2 linked regions of the Canis lupus familiaris genome follow. The main gene of each other region encodes a partner of the protein of the gene in region 2 in a complex. Links are inferred from orthologs where the notes say so. Each region holds a gene or a part of one and is shown on either strand. Other genes may lie near its edges.

What was found. Proteins that work in one complex are often made in the same cells at the same time.
Region 1: the proteins of LZTS1 (region 2) and ASB7 are in contact, whole or in part, in a crystal structure (PDB 8Y1U), measured with the Homo sapiens proteins. The link is inferred for Canis lupus familiaris from reciprocal best matches to the Homo sapiens genes LZTS1 and ASB7. Residues at the interface, in NP_001349813.1 of Homo sapiens: Arg346, Glu348, Leu349, Leu352, Met353, Glu355, Gln356, Leu358, Leu359, Glu360, Lys362, Leu363, Arg364, Ser365, Tyr366; in NP_937886.1 of Homo sapiens: Asn46, Trp48, Ala56, Ile79, Phe82, Tyr87, Met90, His91, Asp116, Trp118, Val123, His126, Tyr127, Ser147, Lys149, Thr151, Gln155, Leu156, Ile159, Arg160, Phe182, Arg185, Tyr186, Ile189, Lys190, Arg210, Leu220, Leu223.

Annotation. Positions count from the first base shown.
Region 1 is NC_049224.1:40,774,312-40,784,740, reverse strand, and holds part of ASB7 (ankyrin repeat and SOCS box protein 7), read left to right. Parts: intron 1-4,801; 5' UTR 4,802-4,923; intron 4,924-6,787; 5' UTR 6,788-6,838; coding exon 6,839-7,049; intron 7,050-10,429. UniProt on the Homo sapiens protein: Probable substrate-recognition component of a SCF-like ECS (Elongin-Cullin-SOCS-box protein) E3 ubiquitin-protein ligase complex which mediates the ubiquitination and subsequent proteasomal degradation of target proteins.
Region 2 is NC_049246.1:36,939,061-36,950,245, forward strand, and holds the start of LZTS1 (leucine zipper putative tumor suppressor 1), read left to right. Parts: upstream 1-3,878; 5' UTR 3,879-4,060; intron 4,061-4,246; 5' UTR 4,247-4,419; intron 4,420-11,185. UniProt on the Homo sapiens protein: Involved in the regulation of cell growth. May stabilize the active CDC2-cyclin B1 complex and thereby contribute to the regulation of the cell cycle and the prevention of uncontrolled cell proliferation. May act as a tumor suppressor.

The DNA of each region.
Region 1 (10,429 bases), on a different chromosome or scaffold from region 2:
GGTAGTTAATTTTGTGTTAATTCGCTTGCCAGGTACATGGGTTTTTAAAGGAAAGAAAGGTCCAGAACCTGATTTATTTGATAACCAAGTCTAGATTTATAGTCATATAGGGAAAATAACTGATTTTAATTGAAGATTTCAGTGATGCATCTTGAGGATGCTGTGGCCCTATACTTAATTGTCTTTATACCAGAAGTGATACCGTTCACAATTGCTTAATATTATGCTACATATAATATCTATTTTCTTTGCGTGTGACTTTGGTAACATAGAAATTTCATACTATTCCTAAAAAGTCTGAAGTCAGATAAAGTTTATATAAGCATACCTAATATCTGACTTACAGCCTTTCACTTCATTCCCAACTGAATACACTCCTTCAGTAGAGACTGATGGTGTTCCTTCTTGCAAACTTCCTCGGCACTGACATGATCATGCAAGACATGAGTTACTAAGATAATATTGACAAGACCTCCTCCGTTACAGTTCTTGTGGTTTAAGTCTTGAGTTGAGCCTGGATAAGTGAGTTATACAAATTCCTCTCTTGCCTCCTCCACATTCCACGAAAATGGTTGGTTTTTCTGCTGGAACGTATAAGAATTGTAGATAAGTTGTGCATGATAATACACCCTTGTGTTATACGGAGGCCCAGCACTTTGGAGGAAATATGAATGCCCTTACTTGTTTTAGAACATAAACACCATGCTGACCATGTAGAGTGATACTAAAAAACACTTCTACTTTATTTTGGGTTCCAGGCTCTTGAATCCTACAAATAGTGCTGGTCAGTATAGACCTCAGCCATGTGGCACACTTTGGGCCTTATGATGTTGCTGCAGCCATCTATCTTTCCTCTTAGGACCTGTGAGCCAATGGTGGTTTTTGTTCCTCAGAGCCAATATCTTGGGTTGCTGATTTTATTTTCATACCAGCCTGATCTCTGTTTGCTCTACAAAGAATTGCTTATTTCCTTTTTTGAGTAGCAAGCTGTTATCTTGTTTCTAGTTTGTGTGAAATCTGAAAGCACAGTTCTAATTTGTATCACTTAATCCAAAAAATGTGTGGACTTTTAGTGAAAATAATATGCAAAAAGCCATTAGTGACTAATCATTTATGCTGAAGGAAACTGGGGACATGTGGCAGATCTGGTAGAAGTTTTATACAATTTTAGACAGGTCTTAAATATATTTTGTTTTGTAGTTATTTTACACTTCACTCTGTTCCATGAATATGAACTTCTTTTAATTATGTGAAGCAAGAAATTTGGTTTCTCCTTAATGCAGTTCACTTGGCATCTTTTTGGAATTTACTGGTAACAGCTTAATTCCTAAATTTATAGTTTCTAGTATGGTCAACAGCGTAAAAGCTCAGAGGCCTGGATGGTTTTCTTTTGACCTCCACGTAAAGTAGAAAAGATGGACTCGTAATAGTTAAACACACAATTCAACACACTACCAGGCAATGAAACCTCACATAAAAACGATATACCGGGGGGGCGGGGGGGGTGGCGGGGAGTAGCTCCTTTTGATAAGTAATTCTGAAGTCTTCCTTGTTTGTGTGTGTGTGTGTGTGTGTTTTTTTTTTTTTTTTCTCTTTTCTGACTGGAACCTGAAATGGCATTCCTAAGATTGCACCCTCAGAATTTTAGTCATTCTGAGTCATTAGTTTAAAACAACTCGCATTTACATATATTTCTTTAGAAAATTGCCTCCTTGGCCATATTCTTATGTTTTATAGGTGACTTCCAGGAGCACTCAGATTTTCAACCTTCTCCTTGAAGGGAAATAGACTGTTTTCCTATCTCATCTGTAGACTTTTTCTGTAATTTTTAATAGACACCCTTAGCACTGGATGCTGTATTAACTTTTTCTGTTCAATAGTCTTTTTAAAAAAATTTACTCATAAGTGGATAGTTCTACCCTGTTCAGTGCAAACTCGTATAACACCAAGATCAAATGTATTACTTGTCTGGTGCCTTGGACTATTGTCGTGGATATTTTGGTAATAAGTCATTGCCCTTCATAATTTAAGGGATGCAGCTGACAGGAATTATGTGTGTGTGGTACACGGATGTTTGTTTCTTCTGGCAAAGACTGATGCATGTACAAGAGTGCTTTTTTGGTTTAAACCTATGGTTATTATTTATAGCACTTTGGTGTTGTTAGAAGAGAGAAAATGATCTTAACGTTTCTAGGGGTATTTAAGTATGCAGAACTCTCTATTAAAAGTTCTACCAAGAGGTAACACCAGTGGCCAAGGCCCAGCCGTGTGCCAAACACATGTCAGGCACTCAGTGGACTTCCATTTGTGTGACCAAAGAGCCCAGACAGCATTATCACAAGTTGCTGTGGTTTGTGTACCTTTCTTGTGGAGAGAAACAGTCCCTTCATCTTTTATCACAGCCTTTTCTTGATACTACTAATAAATTAATACCATTTCGTATTCTCCTCCATCCCCACTCCCACTTTGCTTGTCTTCCTCCCTATGCACCCCCCATCTTCCTCCATGAGTAGATGGAAGGCAGTAAGAGAACAAGGATTCTTAGAGGCTTGAAACCATGAAGGGCCAGCTCCGCTTCTCTTGGGAGGCAGGGGATACCAAGACACCCTTAGAAACAAGGCATCCAGTGGTATTGATACCTGAAATGTAGAAAACAATCTCCTGTTCATTTGTGGAAAATGCTGGAGGCTCATCACTGGATATCTCAGTAGGCTTTCTTTAAACAAATCTTTAGTATAGTTTTAGATTCATAGAAAAAACATGCACAGATAGTACAGGATTCCCGTATACTCCACACCCAGTTTCCGCTAACATCTTGTATTAATAGATGCATTTCTCACAGTTAATGAACCAACAGTGAACATTATTATTAATTAAAATCCATATCCAGATTTCCTTAGCTTTTATCTAATGCCTTTTTCTGTTCCAGGTTACCATCTAGGACACCATATTACATTTAGTCATGTAAACTCTTTTGGGCCATGACGGTTTCTCAGCCTTCCTTGTGTTTTGATGACCTTGATATTTTGAAGAGTACTGGTCAGGTATCTTGTAGATGTCCCTCAATTGAAATTTGTCTGGTATTTTTCTCAAGATTAGACTGAGGTTATGGGCTTTGGAGAGAAAGATCACCAAGTTAAAATTGCTGTTGTCTTCATATTGTACTCATAACACAACTTGGCACTGCTGCTGTTAATCATGATCACTGGGCTAGGATGGTGTTTTTCAGGTTTCTCACCATAAAATTGCTCTTTCCCTTCCTTTCCATGCTATCCTCCTTGGAAGGAGGTCGCTATGCATGGCCTACACTAAAGGGGAGGGAAGTTATGCCCTACTCTTTGAGTAGGGAGCATCTATACAAATCTTTGGAATTATGCACAGGAGATTTTGGTTCTCCTCCCTTCCTTTATTTATTCAACCAGTTATAGCAATATGGGCATATTGATATTTATTCTGTACTTTGAGTTAGAATCCAACTTGATTATCTTGTTCAAATTGTTCTGTCTTGGCTGATGAGAGCTCTCTTAGTTGGCTCCTGTGCTCCTGTAACATACCCCCATCACTGCATTTTTCTTTGAGCACTTCCTTTTTGGCACAATGAGATGCCCCAGGCTCACCTTACATGTGTATTTTCTTGCCCCACTCTCAGAATTGGGCATTTCTATAAGGATGGTCCTGTATTTTTTTTTTTTTTTTTTTTGCAGCTGGCCCTGTAGTAGGAGCTGTTCTGTTATGTCTAATTCAGTTTTTTAGAAACAGTAGGCAGTTGTAAGTCAAATATTATTTCCAAGCGCCTCTTGGCCAACTCTCTGGCCTTCCTTGAAAAGTTTGATGAGGGAAAAAAAAAAATGTATGGAAAAAGGAAAGAGTCAAAGTGGACTGTACTGATTTGGTTTGGTTGAAAATTCTGGTGTGCACCCAGCAGCCCCTGTGATTGCCACTCTTCGCTAGAGCCTGTCGAGTTGCCAGGTGGTCCGATCTTTCCTGTTTAAGTGACATAGGGCGTAGCACACGCCACCCCATGGGGAAGGCGGTGGCAGTTCTAGTGAGTAATTCTTAAGAGTGATTCTAGTGTACTGTGTGCAAGTCACTTAGCGTGTGCTCTTAACCTTAGTGGAATTCACAGACCTAGGATTTAATTTACATGGAGAAAACACCCTTTTCCTTAAACCTGTAGAGAATTTTTTCAAAATTCATGTGGAGAAGTTGACAAGAAATGTTAATCTTTTACCTAGTTTGATGTATACGTAAAGGAATAAAATTTCAAGATGATTGACACAGTGCTTTTTGGGCATACGAAGAACCAGCATTTAAAGACATAAATAATATCCTTTTTAGTTGTCATAGATTCCATTTTGGTGCTGTCCACTTACTGTATTGAATCAACACATGCTTTTGTTTTTTTGTAATGTTTAGAAAGATCAAGCGCCTAACAGCATCAGTTAAAAAGTAATTCAGATGTGCAAGTCTGAAAATATGCTCTGAATAGAGCAAAAAATAATAGGAACATGTGTTTGCATCCAAGTTCCAAATGTGTGATTTTTTAAATTATCTTTATTCTTTTTCAAAAAACTGTCCTTTTTAGGGGAAAAAAATTCCTGATAAAAACCATATTCTTTACCAGTTTGGAGATTAATGTAGGTACCAGGATCCTTTTCTCTAAGAATTGATCTGAGTTTTTGCTCTGAAAGTTTGTTATAAAGTGCTAAAATTTAAATTCATCCAAAGGTAGACTGTGTAGGCAGTTGTAAGATTTTTTACTGTTTTTGGGAGTCTTCCCATAATTGATATTTGTTTTTAGGTTAAGAAAGGTCATTCATGCTGCAATTTGGATACCCCCTGAGCCTCCTCCTCACAATGCTGTATGTGCACAATGGTTATTAGGCAAACCACATATCAGGAGAAGGGACATTCTTCTATAAGGTAAGTGACTAATCATCATTGGTCATTTGGGCAGTTCTGGGTGAAAAATCCACTTAGCCTTTGTTTTTCCTTCAAATCAGCTAACATATACTAAACACAACACTTGCTCAAACAAAATCCAGGTTTGCTCCAAAATTGATTGGATCTTGCATAATAGACCTCATTTAAGTGCAAAGATAATCGTCTCATTTTTAAGGAAAAAAAATGTTAAAGTTGATTGGTTTGAGCACATAGTAGTAGTTTTCATTAGTTTGTAATGGTCTTCAACATCTTCTCGTATAATTCTAAAAATAAGCAAAAACGTATTCCAAAAGGATTTTCGGTTTCAAAATTTCTGAAACAAAAGACTTAATTTTATAGTTTTGATTGAAAAAGGAGTTAAGTGAGGAGATAAGGGGGAAATCCTGTTTATTAAGAAAACAAATTGTGAGGAAATTTCTCATTTTAACTTCTGTTACTTAACAGTAATACTCATGAGTTTGAAATAACCATTTTCAATGTACAAAACAACAGGATATTTGATTACACTCTTAAGCTGTGACAGTTTGACCTAGGTCAGGCTTAAGTTTACCTTTATGCAATCTATAACTAGAAGTTTTACAGGATAAATTATTATTGGTAACAGGATTATCCCAAGATGTCTAACCTACATAGGAGACCAAAATGTCTTTAAAGGACTTTATCACATAATTTTTTATTTTTAGAAATGGAAGCCTGCTAATTAGGAGATGAGTCTAATCTATTCCTTAAAATTAGTCCAGATGGACTGGCTTCTTACAAGTGTGTTAGTTTAAGCTTCTGTAAGCTGTGTAACTTAAAAATGCACTGGAAAAGTGTTTGCGCACACGTGTAAGATTCTGCTTTTTACCAATTCAATTTGGATTTTCTTCACAGGAAGGAGATCTTCTATTATATTGAGTCTGAGTGCATACCTCTTTTGTGACCTAATAGAGGGTGTAGAAATTCAATATACTACTTTTTCTTTAAAATAGTTTTTTCATGTGGTGAATCAACAGGTTGTTTCATGTTGGAAAAAGAAGTAAAAAACTTTAAGTAGGTCTCCTAATATTTCGTATGATCTTGGTATTCTGCATGCTTATAGAGTAAAACTTCTGGAAAACTGAAATTAGGAAAGTGGAAAAGATGTGGTAGAAAACAAGGGGTGGCATATCGTGTATCAAATAGCAAAGTGGGGAGGACAGAAAGACAAAGAAATAAACAAAAGGAGAATATGTGTTATCCGTGCCTTTTACTTTAATTCACCCCATGCATTTCCCCCTCCTCCCCAGACCTTTCACCCTTTGGGGCTAAAACTAAGATATTATTGAAATACTTTAGGGGACTCACTTAAAGTTTTTTACTTTTTTTTTTTTTTTTAACCTGTCTCTCATAGTTAAAGGTCTGCAGTCTTCATAACCTGTGAATTGCCCATTTGATACTCTATATTTCATTCAGTGATCTGCTATATATCCTGATTGGTTTATAACTCTGCGTTAGGGTAATCAAACTCCTCTGACTCCTCTGTTGTCTTGAATTTTCTAGCTGCCCAGCATCGCCTTCTGTTATACCTGAAATAGGGCTACTGTGTTCCTAGGACATTTGCTTTGAGCTTTCAAAAGACTACAGAAGAAATGTCCTGTTTCAGCAATTTAAAGCTTTATGCCTGGCTTTTTGTTTGGAATCTTGTATAATCTTAATCTTGGAAGTTTTGGTTATAACAGTTACTTGTTAATTAGTTGTAGGGGGATGAACTGTCATTACTAAGATTTACATGATTTGACAATGGAAAATTCTGTACTATTTAACAGACACATCGTGAGGAGCCATGTATTCTAAATTTCATGTATTCTGTTTCCCCTTAAAGCCTATTCCCTGTGACCTAATGAATCCTTTGTAAAAAGTGGACTCAGCTAGGATGTTACACCACCATTGTCGAAGGAACCCTGAACTCCAGGAAGAATTGCAGATTCAGGCTGCAGTTGCTGCTGGGGATGTTCACACAGTACGAAAGATGTTAGAACAAGGCTATTCTCCAAATGGCCGGGATGCTAATGGCTGGACCCTGCTTCATTTCTCTGCAGCAAGAGGGAAGGAAAGATGTGTTCGAGTATTTCTAGAACATGGAGGTGAGTTTACCAGCAGCAAACCTTTTTTGCCAGAGAGAAACTTAAAGTATATTTAGTTTAAAATATATGTGCACATGTATGTAACATTTATACTTCACTTTGGTTAACACCCAACTTCACACCCAACTTCCTGTTCTTTCCCTTGTGAAGATTTGTTGGAATTATGTGGAGTTTTGTTCAAGAACAGATTGTTTAAAAGAGTAGTTTCATGAATGTGCTTTTTTCTCCTCTGTAACTGTAGTTTATACATAGCCAGGTTTTCCCAGAAGCCCTTCATGTTGTCTGGTTGCTTTTGTTTCAGAAGCAGAAGTGGCTCTGGGACCCACAATTAGAAAGTTACACAAGTTTCCCCTTTGGTAATTGCTCATGCAAACAAAGACTTAGCACTGGTCCCTTTAAATATCATGGCCTTAATGATGATATCCTGTCTTTTGAATTTACCTCTTTAAAAAAAAACAAACTTTGGATGATTCCTTTTATTGCTGTTTTAGAGCACTTGCCTTTACTAGAATTGTACATAGTTTCTAGGTTAGAAGACAGATTATCTGAGGTCTCATTTTATATAAATACACACCATTGGAAACTACCCCTGACATTTTATTCTTTTGCTTTGAAAAACTGTCCATTCCCAAAGTTAATAATTTCCATAATTAATAACAACTAATAATTGTCCTAAACTAGTTTACTTTTTTTCCAGTTGAATTTCTGCTTTCTTTATTTTCCAGAAATGAGCTATATGTATTTTATCATTTGTACCCAATTTATCTTTGTAAATGCTGGTGTAAAGCAGCCATATTGAGACTCAGGTTTCACACGTGTGCCTTTCGAGGGCCTGAATTGCTCTTTGCCAGTCAGTTGGTTTTATTTTTAAGGCGTACTATGTTCAAGACTAGTCAAACTTGTAAACCTACTTGAAAGTACAGAAAACTAGAAGTCCTAGGGCTCTTGTGAGGGTCGTGTGAATTATGCAAAGCTAGGACTATGGAGGCTGTGAGCAGGAATTAATTGCAGGACGCTGTTAAGCCTGAGACTGTCTTCACACAACCCAGGGCCCCATGCTAGGAACTAAATCCCTGGTACCGTTGACAGGACCCATTCATTCACTGTCCCGGGCCTCCTTTGTAAGCTGTCCGCCATCCCTCCTGCTACTCTTGCTCCTGCCTCATTTTACCTTACTCCTTGGAAAGCTCACTTCTGAACTTAATGAAGGGAAGATGGAAGAGAAACAGGAGAGAGATTGGAAAAAATCTGAAAGGTGGATGTGGATCAGAACACTTAAAATTTTGGCAGCGCTTACCAAGATCACAGTGTATGGTTTTAATCCAACCTAATCCTGTTACTTCCTGCTGCTGCCAGCCGTGCTTTTAAAATATTAACTAATAAATAAATAAATAAATGTTCAATTACTCAGGTAATATTGTCTCCTTAAATAAAACAGTTTTCAGATAAACTATAAGTAAAGCCAAAGACCCCTTTGCCCAACTCCCAATCCTTTCTGCCTGCCCCCTCTCAGAAATAACCATACGTATGAGTTTGCGATCATTTCCTGACACTATTATTCGCATTCATAGAAGATATGTCATATTGTCATATTGTGTTGTGTGTGATTTTAGAACATAAGTAATATCCTACTGACTGTATTATCCTGCAGTTGCTGTTTTTCATTCAACTATACAATTTAAGTTTTTTTTTAAACTATCAGGGGTTGGCAAACTTTTTCTGTAAAAGGCCAGGTAGAAAATATTGTAGGCTTTGCAAACTCTGATGTCTCTGGCATAATTACCCAACTCTGCCTTTGTAGCATGAAAACAGCTATAGACAGTTTGGAAATGAAGGAGTGTGGGTGTGTCCTGATAAAACTTTATAAAAACCAATAGCAGACCAAATTTGGCCTGTGGGCTATAGTTAATCCTGTCTACTCACTCACCCTCCCCTCCATGTGGCTGTGTGTGTGTGTATGTGCTCGCATGTGTGTCTATTAATATTCTTTAATAGCTTTTATTGAGGTAGAATTCCTGTGCCTTACAATTCACCCATTTAAAATGTGCATACAGTTCAATGGCTTTTAGTATATTTATAGAGTTGGCCATCCATCACCACAGGTTATTTTAGAACATTTTCATTACCCTCCAAAAAATCTTGTGCCTGTTTTATATTAATACATATAGATTTGTTCTGTTCTTTTTAGCTGCTAAATATAATATTTATTAATATGGACATACTATCATTTGTTTAAACTATTTTTTTTTTTTAGAATGGCTGAAATTTTCTCAGCAGGAGATTTTATTTGTTGAGAATGTAATACATACACATACGCAGTTAAAAGCCAAATGAAATGTATTCTGGACTGTTCCACTCTTTAGCACCCGTCCTAATTTCTCTTCACAGAGGCAGTCCTTCTAACCGGTTTCTTCTGTGTCCCTGTGGAGATAATCTGTGCATATCAATGTACATAATTTTCCATGCTCCACCTTCTAGCGTGTTCCTTTTTGTTGTTGTTGTTGTAAATAGTCTATTCTGTATCTTGATTCTTTCACGTGGCAGTTCAGTTAAGTGATAGATCCTTGTCATTGTATTGACGCTTCCAGATTCCATTGCATGGATGTAATTTCTTTAAACTTATCCCTTACTGTTGGACATTTTGATTTTTCCATTTTTCTGCTACTAGAAACAGTATTACAGAGAATGTCTTTGACTCTTTTTTTTTTTTTTTAACATATGTGAGAGTTTATCTCTTGGATAATTCCTAGAAGTGCAAAGGGATGTTAATCAATGGTATGTTAATTTTTTTAAAATAGATTTTTTAACAAATTGTCCTCCAAAGGTTAGGAGGGCTCTCTCCTAACTGACCAGGTAGGATCGTGCCTGTTCTCCCACCTTTGCCAGGAGTCTGTCACCAGATGGTTTGCTCTTCCTCTGTATGATTTGCTGGCCTCTGTCTTTCTCTCTCTCTTTTTTTTCCCCAGGAGTGACATTTGAGTAACAAAACATTGCAGGACAGGGCTGCTTTGCTGGTCCTTTTTGTATTGATTTGTAGAAAATTGTTTGTATATTCTTGTTTTTTAGAGAGACGTTGCACCAATTTTCTCTCAGTTTTTAGCTTTTTCAAATTCGTGATGTTTTTTATGTTGCCAGGCAGAAGTCTGCCTTTTAATGTAGGTGAATTTTATTTTCTTTTTGCGTTACCATTTGTGCTTTTTGTGTCTTGCACATCATACCAAAGGGTCATTATTTGCCTGTATCTTCTTCTGAAAAGTTTTGTGGCACTTAGGTTCTTGATCTATCCAGAATTGGTTGGTGTAGTAAGAGATGGCCAGGTACAATTTCATATTTTTTCCGCATAAAGGGAGCCTAAGTCATCCTTTCTATCCTCATTGCTA
Region 2 (11,185 bases):
CAAACATTGTTTGAATGCTTTCTGTATATCAACTATGTGCTGGGCATTCAGTGTTGAACAAGAAAGATGTGGTCTCCGAGTAAGAAGGTTACAGAAAAGTTGAACACACAAACAAAAAGATGGGCAATTATTTACATTGTAATAGGTGAAAGCACACTGAGAAAGGCAGAGGCGCTTCTAATCCAGAGAAAGTGTTAGGTTAACTGGTCCATGGGCCTGGTCCTATGTGGCCAATCTAAGGCCCTAGAGATGAAGGACAAAATGATAAGCCCGAATGGTTAACTACTTGAATCTTTGTTGGTGAACAGATGAGGAAGGCAGGGAATTTTTTTACAAAAACATGCTTTTAACCCAGCTTTCCAGACTCAGCTCAGGCAAGGGAAAGTCTGGCAGAGATTCCTATGGGATACCCAGGGCCCCGTCAGGGCAGCACTCCTTAAACAGACAAAGGAAGAGGAGCCACATTGAGAATCCCACCAGGGGTGTTAGGAGCAGACACACCCAGTCATTGCATTACCATACTCAACAGCTGAATCAGGGAGCTAATTATGGCTTTCTACTTCTGGAGTCCACATTCCTGAGGATTTCATGCACACACACACGCGCACACACACACCACGCTGTACCATGGCAGCTCTTCTCCCCTTATTCTGCTTCCTTACTTCCACCCCCATTTTCAATGCACCCCACTTTATCTCTGAAGCATCCCTTGCACAGGGTGCTTCTGTTGTTTCATACTGTATCTTGGTTCCACCCCTTGCATACACACCAATGCTTTGCCCGCATCCTTTGCCTAACTCAGTCATTATAAGAGAGCTACATGTCATGCTTTATATGCTACCTAGAATGCTTCTGACAGAGAACCATAATATGTCAGTGCTGGATGCGTCCCCTTAAAGAGTCTCACTCAAACTACCCACTTTGCAGATATAGAAACTGAGGCCTAGTCAGGGACATGGCTTATCCAAGAGCATTTAAGTAGTAGTGGTAGGGCCAAAATGAGGAACAGGTTTTCAGGATTAGTATTTTTCTCCTTCCATGGAATTCCACATCTAAAAACAGAAAAATGAGTTTGACTGAAATCAGAAGTCCACCTGATTATTTTTTTAAGATTTTATTTGTTTATTCATGAGAGACATACAGAGAGAGAGAGAGGCGGAGACATAAGCAGAAGGAGAAGCAAGCTCCCCATGAGGATCCTGATACGGGACTCCATCCCCAGATCCCAGGATCACGTCCTGAGCTAAAGGCAGATGCTCAACCGCTGAGCCACCCAGCATCCCATAATTCTTTATTCTACCTTCCAAGATTCTACTTTTTTTTTTTAAGTGCTAAGATGTTAGATTTATATTAATCCATTCTGCAAGTGTTTCTGAGAAATTCCCACCTGTGAGGCACCACATCTGTCTCTGGGGATGTAGAGTCCAGTGTCTGACTGTAGATAGCTCATAGTCTAGGGAAAGACAGACCTGCAGTCACAGTCACCATGCAAGCAAGCATACATATGAATGGGACAAGAGACGTGGAGCTCTAGAAAAAGGAATTGTCGTTTTGGCTGAGATGATCAAAGATGGTGTGAATAAGGAAAGCATTTTAGGTCTCAAATTTTGACAGGTAGAGAAAAGCCTTTCAAACTGAGGGACAAATATATGCAAAGGTGGAAAAGAAGAGGTGATCTTCAGAGAAGGCTGAACTGGCCTTTGGAGTTGATACAGAGAAGTTGTAATGTTCCTTGTAATAGCTACCATGTGTATGTACTTACCACATGCCAAGGATTCTTATTTAATCCTCATAGCAAACCTATAAAGTAGGGATTGCTTCATTTACAAGTAGTTATAGAATGACTATGATATACCAGCCAGGTTCTAGGTGCTGAGGGTACATCTGTGAACAGAACAGATCAAGTCCCTCCGCTATGAACAAAACCGAACAAGTCCTTGCTCTCAGGAAGTTTACATTCCAGGAATTGTTTCCCCATTTCATAAAGGGGAAAAATATATATAAACGACAATATCACCACCAAAAAAAAAAAACCAAACAAACAAAAAACAAAAACCCTGAGATATAAGGAGGTTATGGCCTTGGCTGAGGGTCACACAGATGATAATTAGCAGAGCCTGTCTCTGCTCTGGAAGTCTGTTGTGTTTCCTTCCAGGAAGCTTAGAATTGAGAGTTGAAGTTTTCAGAGTCCAGATCTGGAAATGGGAAAGATATTTTACAAGATTGAGAGCAACAGGGTGGCTGTAACAACATGGTGTTGCTTCTGTTTGGGCTGTCTTCCCTCATTCCACTTTTTTTTTTTAATTTTTATTTATTTATGATAGTCACACAGAGAGAGAGAGAGAGAGAGGGGCAGAGACATAGGCAGAGGGAGAAGCAGGCTCCACGCACCAGGAGCCCGACGTCGCACTCGATCCCGGGTCTCCAGGATCGCGCCCTGGGCCAAAGGCAGGCGCCAAACCACTGCGCCACCCAGGGATCCCTCATTCCACTTTTAGTCAGAGATCAGCCACCTCAGTGTTCCCTCCTCCACTTGGCTGAGGCTGGCATTCCCTGGGTAGAGCCGTGCCTGGTTTTAGTGAATTAATTAACCTGGGTGAACCCAGGACCAGAGCCTCATGCCACACCCAGCACCCCATTTAACTGGCCTTTTGTCCTCCCAAAGCCTGTAAACTTGGTTTCCTTCCTAGCCCAACTGCTAGAAGTTAAAAATGAGGGTGGTGGAGAAAATGATAGCGTTAAAAAGGTACTGGGTGAGATTTATAGCTATAAACTTGGAACACGACTCAGCTTTCCTTTTTTTTATATATAAATTTATTTTTTATTGGTGTTCAATTTGCCAACATACAGCATAACACCCAGTGCTCATCCCATCAAGTGCCCCCGTCAGTGCCCGTCCCCCAGTCACCCCCACCCCCCGCCCTCCTCCCCTTCCCTCACCCCTAGTTCCTTTCCCAGAGTTAGGAGTCTCTCATGTTCTGTCTCCCTTTCTGATATTTCCCACTCATTCTTTCACCCGAAACCTAGTCCCCCGGAGGGAGCTGGAAAAGTTTGCCTTTGAAATGTCTTGGAACGCTTGGGTGGCTCAGCAGTTAAGCGTCTGCCTTCGGCTCAGGGCGTGATCCTGGAGACCCGGGGGTCGAGCCCCACATCGGGCTCCCTGCATGGAGCCTGCTTCTCCCTCTGCCTGTGTCTCTGCCTCGCTTTCTCCGTGTTTCTCATGAATAAATAAATAAAATCTCAAAAAAGAAAAAGAACAAGAAATGTCTTGGGAGTGGGGGTGCCAGTGTTCCGGGCCCCTGCCTTTAATCCCAGCACGTGAGGCAATGCCCATCACTAGGCTGCTGGTCCCGTCTTTCACCTGGAAATCCAGCCTTTCCCCGGGACCCAGGGGCTGCAGGGCTGGGGCTGGGGAAAGCAAACTGGTGAGTAAGAAGATGGGGCGGGGAGCAGGGGGGGGGATGAAGGAAGAGAAGGATCCAGGGGAAGAGGAGAAAGCCAAGGAATGAATCTAGGAAACGCGAAGGAGGAAGGACGGAGCGCGCGTTACCGAGGAGGCAGGGACAAGAGCAAGAAGGGAAGAGTCGCAGGAGGGGCAGGGCCGGCGGGTGGAGGGAGAGAGGCTCAGGGCCGCCCGAAGGGGTCTGCGGGCGGTGGCAGCGGAGAGCCGGGGCCCGCGGCCGCCGCCGACCCCAAGTGCGGGGCAGCCCCAGCTGTCAGCCGGGAACAAAGGCCGCCGAGCAGCAAGCGAGAGGCTGCGAGCCGCGCCCGGCCAATGAGCGGCGCCGGCGCTCGCCCCGCCCCGCCCCGCCCCGCGCCCCGCCCCGCCCCGCCCCGCCCCGCCCTCGGCTCCCGGACCCCGCGCGGAGGCCGGCGCGCCGGGAGCGGGCGGGCGAGCTGCGGGCGCGCGCGGAGGCCGAAACTTTCTCCCGCCGCCGGGTCCGCCGAGCCGGAGCCGCGAGCCCGCAGCCCTGCGGAGACGGCCGGGACCCCACTGCAGCCCCCCGACCCCCCCCCAAAAAAAAACCATGCCCAAGCCAGCCGGAGGCGCAGGGGGCAGGTAAGGTGCGCTGCGCGCGGGGTCCTCCTCCGCCGCGCCCCGGGCGCTCGGGCTCGGGGGCGACCGCGCTCCCCGCCGCGTACCGGGCGTCCGGGCGTCCGTCGGTCTTTGTCTGTGTCGGCGTCCGTCCGGGTGTCTTTGTCTCTGCACGTAACTGTCAGGGTCTTTCTTTCCCCCCTGCGCCAGGGTGGGTGCTGCTGCTCGGGACCCAGCCTGGAGAAAGGGATGCTGCGCCCGTCCTTACGGCTTTGTCTCCGTCTCCTGCACCCTGGCTTCATCTGCTTCCAGCCCCGAATCTGATCTTGCTGGACACGAAGTGTTGGGTGACACTGATGTCTGAGATGAGCCAAAGGGGAAGTGTGCGTGAGCCCAGAGGGTCCCTGGCCCCAGACGGAGGGTGTGACAGCTGGGCTCTGGACACTGCACTTGGCCGTCCGAACTCTGGAGATGGGCCGTGGCCGTGCTCACGGGGTGGCAGGGACACTGGTGCAGTTAGAGCTTTGGGACGTCTCACTGAAGGAATGTGTCACGGGGGCTGAGTTGGATAGAGAGGGGCTCCATGAACGTGGAAAGTGGCCCCTGGAGTTGTGGGTCAACAAGGATCAGTCGTAGACTTGCCATTCAGCCAGATTAACACACACACAGTCCCACACCTACACACACACCACGTTCACTTCTTTCTCTCACCGGCCAAAGGTAGCCAGCCCCCGACTCCCTCCCCACCCCTACACACACACACACACACACACACACACTCTTCAACATGCTGAACTCCTGCTTTCAGAGCATCAAACTCAGCAGCAACAGGCATCGAAACACCACAGGCCAGGTGATCTTTCTCCTTCTTGCTCGAAATGGAAAGGAGTGAACTCTGGAGCAAATGAATGTTCTGCTTGCCCACAAGTATGTCAGGCCTAGGAAAGTGCTTGGGACTTGTTAGCTTCAGAGCCCTCGGTTCCCTAGGAACAAAAAGAGTGCTTAGGGATCTGAGCATCTAGATTTCCTGGATCGCCCCCCCCCCCCCATTCTATCCACACCCTCCTGCAACCATCAACCCTGGTCTTCGGTCTTAGGTGCTGGGCAGACTAGCATGGAGGGACTGAGTTCTGGAGAGCTCTTGGCAGGAGCTGTGCCAGATAAAGGATCTCCTGCTCTGCTGGAAGTACAGCCTAGTGGCAATCAGAGGAGCAGAGAAGTCTAGCCAGAGAGAGATGAGCTGTGTGTGTGCTTGGCAAGTCTTCCAGAACCAACGACCCTTGAGAAGACTCTGTGGGTAGGGACTAGACAGTGCTTGTAACCTGAGCTTCCTCTAAGTCCAAAAACAATTTTCTGTGGGTATACTGGGGAACATATAGGTGCTAAAGCATACACACACACACACACACACACACACACGAAAATGGGTATTAGAGACAGCTTTTATAGGCGGGAAGGGTGTTTGTGTTCAAGGGTGAGAAGAGCAGAGTGTGTGGGTGGAAATCTGTGGGCAGGGGCATACACACTAATCAGGTCTGGCATTTACACCTTATATTTATCCAGTGCCTTTCTTCTGAGGTGCTTTCTCCACATCACAGACGTTATCTCATTTGTTATCTCCTTTATCCTCACACTGTAACTACCAGGTTGGCATGAAGCATGGTTCATTCTCTGTGTTCTACCAGTGAAGAACGGGGGCCGGGCTTTCCCTAAGGTCCACAGCTAATAGGAGCAAAGTTAAGTTTAGCAAGTGGAAGTTCAAGTACGAGGTCTCAGCTGAGCAGATGGGTGTGTGGACATTCACTCTTCATGAAGTGAGAAAAAAAAAAAAAACAGGTGGAGAAAAAGGATAGTCTTTCAGGAGTGTGTATGTGTAAGCGAGAAGGAGGATGGGACGTTCGAGATGGTTGTTACTTAACCATTTATGGCAGCCTCTGTGCACCTACCTCACGAAGTAAAACCTGCTTTAACAATTCAGCTTGTACATTTGTGTGTCTGTCGAGGAGCCTCCTGTCTTGCCATGTGCATCCCAGTAGATGTGTGTTGAGGTGGCTGCTGTCTAAAGTGTGCCGCTGTGCAGTGTGTTGTCAGGGAGAGCCAATGCTTTGGGAGTGCATGAGGGAAAGATCCGCCATGCAGTTTTGAGAAGCCACTTTTGTGCCTGTGTGGGCAAGGAGGTAGATGGGTTCCAACCATATAAAAATGGCTTCCTAATTCTAAAAAGTTATGTATATGCCTTTGCACTTATTCAACATTCACTTAATAAATATTCATTGGGTACCTACAAAATGCAAAGCTCTGGGCCAGGCATAGCCTCATTAAACTATGAAGATGCATAGGGTAATGAGGGCAAACCTGTGGTTGATCAGCTTATAGACTGGTGTCATGGGTAATACTTAGCAACACCTAATACTGTTCACTAAGTACACTATGTGCCCAGTACTTGTTATTCATTATCTCATTTAATTCTCAGCACAGGCCTGCAGGGTGTGTATGATTATTAGATGAGGAGAGTTAAATAATGTAGTTAGGATAGAGGATGGAGGAGCAGGGGTTTGAACTCCACTCAGCTCAGCTCTGGCTCTTTCCATGTTCTTCTACTAACTTTGAAAAGAGAAATACACGTTTCCGCTCTGTCAAATATTCTTACCCCGTCTCTCTACCTCCACCTAACAAGCTCCCACTTGCGCTTCTGGTCTTAACCATGAGAATCAACCCATCCAAGAAATCTTCCCCTCTTCTTTCCCTATGTCTGGGTTACATGCCTTTCTCTGAGTTCCTACCATCATTCCACACTATTCTGACATTTACCCACTGATCCTGAAGAGCCCAAATGGTTCTTAGAGGCAGAGATGATGTCATGAATGCCCAGCTCATAGTATACTATTTAGCTACTATGAGTAGGCCCTTAGTAAATGGTTGCTTAATAAAGCAATGGGAAGAAGAGATATCGGGGACTGTTGGCAAGGAACATTTTCCCAGCACAGATTCCTGCATGGCCTCTGGCTTTCCTGCCCCTGTTATTGGGTCATCTCTTTCAGGGCCTCTGCCTAGACAGGGTTCCTTCGTCTCAGTTTCTAACTCCAGTTTGGGAACACAAGGAAAACCTAGCTCCTACCCACCCTACCAACCTAGGCGCTCTATCTCGGGGTCAGTCAACCAATGGATATATACTAGTGGGAAGTGCTAGGTGTGATCTAGAATTAAGGTTTTAAAAATTGTGCAGTTGGAACCGCAGGAAGGCACTGGTTCCAAGGCAGTGATGAGGTGTTTCTAGGGGTTTGCTAACAAAAAAGTAGCCAGCTGTCTGGGGGATCTTTAGGCACTTTAAGTGGTAGTTCTTTGAGTTTCCTTTTGAATAGATCTTTATGCTGCTGCAGTCTGAAAATTGCTGATCTAAAATAGACACTTACGCTGTTGTTGGGAGTGTGAATTGCTACCATGTTTAGGGAGGCAATCTGGCCATGATTTCCCCAAGGTCACGTGGTTACAGTTTGGTGACTCCTGTCTCATGCCGTTTACACCACACCATTATTTCTCATAGCAGGTTTGCCACGTGCCTTCTCAGGGGTTTGTGATTATTTTAGTTTCCCTAGAACTGTACATCACTATTTATTGAAGGTTTTCAAGGTGCCACGGAGGTGGGGGATTTTTTAAAAAAATGGTTCAATAATGGCTTGAGACTAAAATTTGTGATGGGAATTGAGAAGAGGAAGCAGCATACGTAAATCAATGACAAGTACATTGAAAATTGGATTGTACTAACTTTGAACACAGCAGCTGCTCAGCATGAGGGAGGTGAGCTCAAAGACACCAGGGAGGAAGTGGTCATGAACTAAACCTTGAAGTTAAACCTCAGGAAAGTATAAAAAGTAGACATAGCAGCAGCAAGGTCATAGTTCCAAGATGCAAGCTGAGACCTGAGGAAATGGAGCTTTTTCTTCCAAAGGGAACCCAGGTAAGAAATGTTTCCTCCTTCCATGTAGCTCAGCAAGGCACCCAGACCAGACAGAGCTGGGAAATGAAGGATGTGAAGTAACTCACCTCTAACAACTGCCTCCAGCAAAATGAGTGTGCAGATTGGCTCTGGATCCCCTTCTCCAAGGATTTAGAGAAGTGGGTGGAGATGTGTCAAAATCAGGCATGGTTGCGTTGGGCTTCGGGCTAGCTGCCGATTGGCAGTGCTGCCTCTGTATCTGCAGTCTCCATCCTGCTTCCTGCCAGACATCGACTTCCACCTGACAGTCTACCACCATCTCTAGGCTGCCTGTAATAATAATTTTAATAGCCTTTTTTATTTGTACAGGACTTTACACGTTAAAAAGGATATTATTATTGTTGCTGCTATTGTTGTTATTGTTAGGATCATTATCAACCCTGTGAGAAAGTATCTTCCACAATTTGGCATATGAGAAAACTGAAGGAACCTATTGGGGGTGAAGGGGTTCACCCCAGATTTTAAGTGGAATGCTGGGATTTGAACCCAGCTGTCCTGACTCCCAATTCATTGCTATTATCACCCAATTGGCAGGCCTCATTAATTAGCAAATAGAATATGAGCGTGTGTATGTGTTAGCTAAAAGCTAAAATTAATTGTTCTAATCAATCCAGTAGACTGGTGATTTTTCTTGCTAAGTGATAGGCCAAATTGGTGTCTAAATAGATGTGATATGGGTTTTGTCCAGTACCTGGAACAAAGGCAGTAAAAAGTTGCCCTATCCAGATCACCCATAGATTAGCTTCCATGTCAGTTAATCACTGTGGGAGAGGATAACTGCCTTCAGAATGACAGCCAGCAGACACACACACACACACATGCACACCCGAATTCATTCATTCATCTCTTTCACTGAGGCATGCTCTCCTCTGATATCCACACTCGCAGTCATATCCCATAACGTGAATCCTTAGACATTCCCAGATGGCAGGACCTGGAAGATCCACACCCTATGCCTACTTGGGTTGGTCTTTCTGTGGCATGATCTAAAGTGTGCTTGGATTGCCCCCCTCCTCGATGGCACAGAACCTCAATTTCTGCCATGCCCAGAGCAGTCTTTTGAATTACCATTAGTTCTTCAGAGCTTCAGAAGCTCCCAGGCCACAGCATCTACTAGAAGAAGAGAGCCCAATCTAGGTAAGACTCTCAAGCTAAGGCATACCCAAGGACACAGGCCCTCAAAAGTGCCAAAGTAGAGCTGAGATCAGGGGTGAGGGTAGGCATTGCTTTGAAAATCAGTTGCTGTTTAGGGATGAACCCTGCCCTGTGCATGAATATAACTGCAATGCATAGACTGCCAGGTGGCTGAGGCAATCCCTGCCTGAGGCACCAGGGCAGGGCTGTACACTTGGCTCACTGGCCTGTTGGCTTTGGGGGCATCTTCACCCTCCTTGCTGTTGCAAAGCCATTTGCTGCTAAATCACCCTCCTCCTGGCACCCTGGACTGCTAAATTGGTCTCAACTTGCTGTACTTCCACCCACTACCTTAGTCATTATTCGCTGGCAGCATTCACAGAGTGGGTGTAAAGCAGCTGAACATTATATTCCTGCTGAAGAGAGAATTGAGTATAGGCATGCAAGGGAAGGAGGTAAGGGAAAGCTAAGGAGGCAGGGAAACAAAGCTTGGATCTGCCAGCACCTTTCCCTACTAACTCCAATAATTCTGGACAGTTGGGTGGTGGGCAATAGGTGAGTGTCCTGGCTCAATAGGAGGAGACACAGGATTCTAGGGTGAGAGAGGTACACTCACTACAGTGGGGCTGCACCTACCTGGGAGGAAGAAAGGACATCCTCTGTGAGGAGAGAAACACCCCCCCGCCCATCAGCTCCCTGTTGCTACAAATTCTGCAACATGTACTGTCATACCCATTGAGCATCTATTCCCATGTATTAGCATTTAGCTTCTCTATCCTTCCTCCCTGCCTAGATTATAAATCTCTTGAAAGGAAAATGTGTCATGTTTCAGGTGACACAGGCTCTGGACACAGGGCTCAGCCCCAAAGTGCTGAAGGTAATGGTGATGAGGCCTATGGTGGCCCTTCCTTCTCAGCCATTTCAGATCTCCCTGTGCTGTCCAAGGGCCACAGGGTTTGGGAACCCAGGCAGGCAAGAAGAAAAGGAATAACAGGGGAACATTCGAGGCTGGGTCTATTATCTCAGTGAGGAAGCTTTAGGGAGGGAAGGGTTATGCCACACAGGAACAGGCCAGCTAGGGAGGTAGAAACTTAGAGACTTTCTGTTGTGGCATAGAGGCTGCAAGTAATCTCCAGCCAACAGATGGGGTACTCTTTCCTAGCTCATCTAGCACCCAGGATTGCACTAGGGCTGGTAGGAGGTGAAGAACACAGTTGGTTCTCATGTCAGACAGCATCAGATGGAACAGGGTGACCTTGACAGGAGGTTCTCTGAACCACTGATAACTTTTGCTTGGTCTCCCAAGAAAGGGTTGGAAGGGGAAAACAGTACCAACACAACCTGGCCTGGAACCCAATGGACTCCCCAACCCAGGTTCCTGTCCTCTGACCCTCTTCTCAAGGAATATAATGAGAAAACCCTGAGAATAGAAGCCACCACGCAGCTAGGGACAATGGGGAATTTGCAGAGCATGGCAAGGGATAGAAGTCTAGGGGAATGAGCCCTGAGGTTGCTCTTGACCTTCTGCTAACTGTTAAGAGGCAGTCTGACCAGTGTGTCTGGAGGATGCCTGTGCTGAGTCTGCCCTCGTCACCTCAGCAGCCAGGTCAGGGATGTCAGGGTTTCAGAAGGACACTTTAAGCACTCAGAGCACCTCCCTTACTTATTGCAACCTTCAGACACTCCAGCTTTGGCTCTCTCCTCCTTCCCATTGAAGGGTATCTCAACGGTGCACATGCAGAGGAGGCTAGGAAGGATTAGAATGTGCTCACATCCTGAGAAGACAACCCTCCCCGGCCCCAGTGCCTCAGTGGTGGCACCAGCAGGGAAACTGAACTGCAGGCAGGTGGGGAAAGCAAGAGCCAGGAGGCAGAGCCCCAGCCTCCACCTGCACTAAAAACGCAGCGCTGCACTGAAGGAGTGCTCACAGCTGCCCGCTCCTCCCCTCCGTGGGCCTGCAGCGGCCCTGCTCAGAGACCCGCACTAGCAGGGAGTGACCATGGGCAGGATGTTTGGTC